Linked DNA regions of Yarrowia lipolytica. The protein of the gene in region 2 purifies or fractionates together with the protein of the main gene of each other region. This does not show direct contact. Links are inferred from orthologs where the notes say so. Each region holds a gene or a part of one and is shown on either strand. Other genes may lie near its edges.

Region 1 (3,841 bases), on a different chromosome or scaffold from region 2:
TCTCCCCAACCCTTCAGGAGACGAAGCTGGATCTGTCACGCCTTTCCACAAACTCACCCAGTGGCTGACGTACTCCATTCTGGTCCCCATGAAGGAGTATGGAGGCCTCAAGTTTGTGGGAGAAGAGCAACTTACTGGTCTACCCGAGTACCGAAACGGAGGTCTTCTGGTCGATTTCGGGGTTCTGACTCTCAAGCCTGAGGCACTGAAACAATCGCTTAGTGGTGCCAATGACCTTCCCAAGTTTGAGCCCTCCTCTGACGTGATTGTCGAGTGGAGAGCTCTTACCGTTGGCTTCCTGGATGCCCTTCTTCCCATGGTCAATGCTATGCTGGAAACGCCTCTTGTGTTGCCCCAACTTTTGGAGGCTGGCACTTGGAAGGCTGGTCGTGAAATTGCCAAGGAAAAGCGATCCAACGGCGGGCCTCCTATTGAGATTCAGAGCGATGGCACTGTGTTCTAATCCTCGAGAAGTCGTATAACCCTTAGGGTCCCTACCATTTCTACTCCATCAACTTGCATCCTTCATGTAACTCACTGTTAACCGATCTATGTTATTAATATACATTATATGCACCCATACCACATGTACGCGCGTAGAAACTTGTACTATCGTGCAAGTAGCCATACTCGCATCCTCCTATGCCAGCCGATCAAGAGCAACAAAAACTCCGTCTTCCACTCGAACAGGTCTCTTGAAATCCACTTTACTATCGAACAGCTCCTTGGCTCCAGACACTCCAAGCGCAGTGTCGTGCTTGACGGCGTCCTCGACGTGATCCCACTGTCCAAACACAAACAGAGGCCGCTTGACAGTTCGGGGCAGGGCCAGAATGGGCTTGGGCTGTGTTTCCGGTGCAAGCTCGCTCTGTCGGAACTCTCCACCAGGACACCACACGGTGTAGTCGTATCCCTCGGGAGTAGAGGGCATGGTGAAGATGTGAGAGAAGTCGGTGGCCACACGAACAGAGTACCCGGTATCTTGTCCGTAAGCCTCTGTGGCTGACACAACCTTGTTCTCCTTGGTATCCACAGTCACTCTGACGCCCACAGGAACGGTCTGGCCATATTCGAGCTCGTGGGGCTCTGCAGCGCCAATGTTGATGTAAGGAGTGGCACCATCAACGGTTGGTGGCTGCAGCTCGATACCCTTGGCCTCAGCCTTCTTGACGTTTCTCTTTTGTTTGGAGATCTTGCTCTTGACGTTCTTGTTGAGGATCATTGGGATCGACATGCCCTCCTTGTATCGGGCGTCTCGCGACTCCATGAACGGTAGCAGCAGCTTGGGCAGCTTCTTGGCGTACTCAAAGTTGGTTGTAGTGGTTTCCGGGGTGAAAATGGACTTTCGCAGGTAATCGGGGGTGACGAAAAACTGCAGCAGAGAAGCCAGTGTCACAGCTCGCTCGGACAGCTCGGGCTTGTGGTCGTTAGATGCGTCAGAGTTGAAGACAATCTTGGGCTTTCCAAACGAGCTAGTCTCGGACTTTTTGGTCTTCTCCTGCTTGATGTCGGGCCGCTCTGAGGGTTCGTAGATGACAATCTCGTCCACGTTGTAGGCCACCGCAGCTCGAGCAATCTGGTAAGCAGTGTGGACAGCTTGTTGGTAAGACTTGACAACAGTCTCTGAAATGCAAGTGGAGGGCACAACGAGAGTCACAGAAAGCTGAGCCTCCTTGGGAGTCGTGGTCTGGAGCTCGCTCTCTTGGTTGGGTGTGAGGGTGGACTCAAACTCCTGCTGTTTGGCCTTCTTCTTGGCCTTGTGCTCCTCAGGAGTCTTTCTCTTGAGCTCGGTTAGTTATTGTGGGATCCAAATTGGCGCTCTTGACTCGCTCATACTCACTTCTGACATGTCTTCTTGTGGTGTGGTGTGCTTGATGAAAATTTCAAAATAATTTCGATTAGACTTCGTGATCTTTGATGCAGGTGGGAGGATGTGTATACAGTTGGGATTACTTGGTTTACCTGGGACTACTTAGACGTTTAGTTAATAACTTCGTATTCATCAAATATATCAAAATTGCTTGGTTTGCTGGTGTCGCGTCTACTTGGAAAGCTGGTCAACAACTGCGGCAAACAGCCAGGCTCCGGGATCGGGAACATCTGCGGTCTTTGAAACATAACTGGCTCGTCCATACTGAGCTTTGAGGGTCTTTGTGCTTTCTGCTCCCTCCTGAGCGGCTTTGGCTGCATGTTGAAGACTTCCAGACGAGGCGTAGACTTCACAGAAGGGAATCAGAGAGTCCATGACCGTTCGGTCACCCTTGCGAGCCTGTGTGTGTGTCTGGAGAGATTTTGAAGCCAATCCAACCGCCTTTGGAGCCTGTTCAACTCCTTCCTTTTGCAGGTTGTAGATGAGAGCACTAACAAAGATGCCCAGAATGGCTCCCAGAGAGCCACCCATGTCATCCAGGCAGGACGAGAGGAGATTAAGAGTTCCCTTTAAAGAAGACTGCTTGCGGGAATTCCACTCCTTTTGAATGTGAAGTGCCGCGTCTTTGGCTGCCATACCGCAGTCTCCATCACCCATTACAGTATCCCAGGTGGTGAGAGAAGGCTCGATTGAAATGACATGTTTGCAAATACGCGAAACAAGCTCGTCATAAGGCGACTCTTCGCAGTCCTTGGCCGCTAGCTCCTCCTGCTTGGAGAGCACCTTCTGTTTCTTGGGCTCGTTGACACCGACCCTTGGCCAAGCAGGAGCATCAGTTGGAGCATCGATGAGCTCTAGAAGCTGTTTGCTAGATAATTTTTCAACGAGAGTTGCAGAGTATGAAGGGTTGTAAAGAGTGATTGAAAAGCCTGGGCCGTCTAGCGACGTCTCAAAGGCTCCAGACAGGACTCGACAGGGAACAATGTTATAATCCTGCTCCAGAACAGACAGGGCCACTTGAGTTAGGGCTCCATTCTCGAGATTAGACAGCCCACCAAAGTTGTTGACCAGCAGAATAACCTCGTCCTTCTCCTTGAAGGACACAAAGGCTCGCTCCTTGTCGTTGGGGTCTAGCAAAAGAGTCAACATCTGTTTGATGAGATCTTCAGGCCGTTCGGGAATGTCGACCTCAACAAGTCCTCGTTCGTTGTGAATACCCATTCCAAGTACAGCCTTGTCATGAGGGATATGAAAGTCCACGTCTGTTCGACCAGGAACACTGCAGTGGTCCAGAGAACATCCCACCGTGACCAGTCCGTCGTTCACTGCCCGTCCTACATTGGAGACGTGATCAAAGGAACCTCCAGCCTCAGCACAGGCTCCCATGGACTTGAGAACAAGCAGGTTTCCCGCCAGTCCCCGTCTTCCGACCTTTGAGGACCGGGTTCGTCCGAGAGCGACATCATCAGTCACAGGGATGACTGCCACCTGCATGCCTCCAGACTCGGCCTGGAACTTCTCTTGGGCCAGTCCAAAGTGCAGCTTGTCGCCCGTGTAGTTTGTGATTGCCAGAATAACGCCACTGTCGGGTTCCGAGGCTCTGATACCGGCCATAACCTGTCTGGCCGAAGGAGATGCAAAAATGTCTCCACAGACAGCAGCATCTAGTAGTCCCGAGCCCACAAGACCGCTCCAGCTGGGCTCATGGCCCGATCCGCCGCCCGAAATAACTCGGACCTTGTCCGACTTTTTCTTCTTGTAATAAATGATTCTCTGATCTTCCACTAGACCCAGTTGCGGGTTGCTAGCCAGGAGAGATTCGAGGTAGAGATTGACGAGATTCGTTTTGGCGAAGTGTTTCATTTTGCGTGTGATGTGTGAGATGTGACGACCGTGAAGATGAAAGAAGCACTACTTGCACTCAACTCATTTGTTCTATATACATCGAGCGCTTTTACCTCAGAAGAAGCG
Region 2 (2,836 bases):
CCCCAAAATGGCCTATTGGATTGAGTGGTTTGTGGGAACCGCCTCCAACGTGGGCTTCCCTCCGACCACAGTGCTCAACGAGGCCACGGGCTTGGAGTTGACCACTCTGGAATGGTCCAAGAAATTGGCGACTGCGGCGACCACAGTTTTCAAGCGAGATGTGGATTACGTGCGAGAATACATGGTCTCCAACATCAAGGCGTACCTGACGAGCGAGGGAGCTGCGTCGACCGACTCATCGTCTGCCGCACTAATCTCCGATATCTCCGAAACCAAGGAACTGCCGGGTAACTGAACTTCTCAAGTCCAACTACAGACCAACTTTTTGGGGTGTGAATTTTTTGCAACCTTATTTGAAAATTTGAAAATTTGAAAATTTATCAAAAGTCGATATTGATTACGATCTGTGAGAAGTGTCTGTGGCAGTAAGTGTATAACTTTTACTAGGTATAATACAATCAATAAAATAAAGAGTACATGCGATGGGCCCAGAGTGGGGATTTGGAAATCTCACCCCAGACTTTGTGTAAGTGGCTAATTGATGCTGATATCAGACAGACCTTAGTAACCTCCTCGGCCACCTCGTCCACCGCCGAATCCACCACGGCCTCCACCTCGGCCTCCAAATCCGCCTCGTCCACCTCGGGGAGCTCCAAAGCCACCTCGTCCGCCTCGGGGAGCACCTCCGAAGCCTCCTCGAGCACCGCCTCGGCCACCAAAGCCTCCTCGAGCACCTCCACGGCCACCAAAGCCGCCTCGAGCACCGCCTCGAGCACCACCTCGTCCTCCAGCAGCCTTGGGCTTCTTAACGCCGGTGGCCTTGGGCTTGGGCAGGAATCGCTCCAGCGGCAGCAGCTTGTCTCCGCCAATGTAAAACTTGTCACCAGACTTGAAAGAAGCGGCCTGGAAGCCCTCGGAGGGCTTGATAGTGAACATGACATCGTTCATGGGGCCAAGAATCTCGTCGACCTTGCCGACCTGGGTCTTGTTCTCAAGGTAAATGGGGGCGTTGAAGTAGGGGATCTTCTCATTGATGGACTTGCAGACGATATCGCCCTCGCAAGCGTGCAGAAAGGCACCCATCTCAAACACCTGATCGGGAGGGCCCATCTGCATGGGTGCGCCGGTTCGGCCACCTCGGAATCCGCCTCGTCCTCTGAAGCTCATTTTTGTGTGATGTTTGTAGTAGAGGTTGTGATGAGTTCACTGTAAGGTCAAAAAGTTGTATGCACCTACTAATTTTTTCCCATTAACTTTTCTGCCCTAGCCCTGCTCATGCAGTGTACTATCCATGTTGTAGGGTAGTGCTTGTTGACTAAGCCATCACCTCTGTGACGACAATAAAATGGCCCTATCGACAGACCTGCTCAAGATCTCGCCTCTAGCAGCGCTGCTCAACAAGGATAACGTGTCGATAAACTCAGTCTATCAATTCATCGAGAAGAACGGCTTCAATGATCGCGACCTGCATACCCTAGAGTCTCTGAATGGACTAGAGAAGTGAGTATAGAGAGATGCACAGACACAGAAACACCGCTAGAACTCCTTACTAACCCAGATTATGGCCAGTTTACAACAAGAAACAGGCCAACACAAATGCCATTGTCGTGGCACTCCTTGTTCTTGCCAAGGCCAATGACGGATTCGATCTATGGACGGTGTTCGAGAAGAGCCCCGAAAATTTTGGCCATTTTTACAAAACGGTACTCAATCTCGTGGCCGGAGACAAGCCAACACGGATCCAGAAAGTGCGAACCAAACTACTGCGGTTTCTGACCGTTTCTTTCCAGTGGCTTGACTCTCAGTTGGTGCGATCAGAGGCAGGAGCATTGGTGTCGGTCTACACATGGATGCATATGGACGAGAAGGTGCGAGAGAACCTGCTCAAGGGAAACAAGCGACTGGGGAAGCTCTGGAGAGGCGCCATGAAAGCCTACGACAAGGGCGACAAGAAGGAGGACATCGATAAACAGTCTTCGTTTCTATCGACACTTACAGACATCATGTTACAGAAGGAGCACGATACGGAGTTTGTTGACACATATCTGTGTTTTCTCATCTCTATTGTGTCGCAAATCCCCTCAAGACGATTCGCCAACAGTGTTATCAAGTCCAAGAATGTGTGTTCATTGTTGAAGAAGTGTAACGCCGATTTGCTCAAGACCCTCGATTTTTACGTGCATTTTCCCATGGACGATTTCTCCGGCGAAGAGCTGACTCCTCTGCAAGTGCGAAAGCTGCAGACCCAGTATCTGGAAAAGTTCCAGCTCTATGCATTCGAGAATCTGCCTGAAAAGCTGCGACTCGCGAGTTTGTGTAACTTTGCATCTCTCACAAAGGATGAGGTCAAGAAGGAGCTGTCGAACCTGTCCAAGGCTGAAATTGAGAGCCTGTTGAACCTGCTGGGAAGCTCAGGCAAGAAACTGGTGACTCTCAACTACCAGTTGGCATCTCTCACTTCAAACCGAAACCTGAATGCCGAGTTTGACGCTATAGACCTGCTGCCTACAGAAAAGTCGCTCAATTCACAGTACTCCGAGCTTACTCTACCCCGACTTACTCTGCAGTATCTCAGTATGAACGACTTTATTCTCAAGTCGTTGCGTCTTCAGCAGGTCGAGATCTTCCATCAGATCAATAGTGATGTGGAGAATGTCGTCAACCGTCTCAAGACGAGAAAACGAAACGACGCCGGAGAGGAAATCACAGGATTCAGCAAGTACGCTACAAAGATCCTTAACGAGGCTGTTCTGCATGTGGCACCTCCTTTTGTGGGCGAGTCCAATCCCGGATACTGCCGTGTGGAGATCACCGTGGATATTTACAGACAGGACAA

Evidence for each region.
Region 1: the proteins of YALI1_C33098g (region 2) and YALI1_E24513g purify together in Saccharomyces cerevisiae (affinity purification with mass spectrometry, with the first as the bait; 3 studies listed by BioGRID). This does not show direct contact. The link is inferred for Yarrowia lipolytica from reciprocal best matches to the Saccharomyces cerevisiae genes GAR1 and UPA2.

The regions. Positions count from the first base shown.
Region 1 is NC_090774.1:2,449,499-2,453,339, forward strand, and holds YALI1_E24513g (uncharacterized protein), read right to left. Parts: upstream 1,850-3,841; coding exon 1,841-1,849; intron 1,787-1,840; coding exon 641-1,786; downstream 1-640. Other genes in the region: YALI1_E24487g (uncharacterized protein), read left to right, coding at 1-463; YALI1_E24532g (uncharacterized protein), read right to left, coding at 2,042-3,733.
Region 2 is NC_090772.1:3,308,661-3,311,496, forward strand, and holds YALI1_C33098g (uncharacterized protein), read right to left. Parts: upstream 1,168-2,836; coding exon 562-1,167; downstream 1-561. Other genes in the region: YALI1_C33086g (uncharacterized protein), read left to right, coding at 1-295; YALI1_C33100g (uncharacterized protein), read left to right, coding at 1,346-1,500, 1,559-2,836. UniProt on the Saccharomyces cerevisiae protein: Non-catalytic component of the H/ACA small nucleolar ribonucleoprotein (H/ACA snoRNP), which catalyzes pseudouridylation of rRNA and is required for ribosome biogenesis.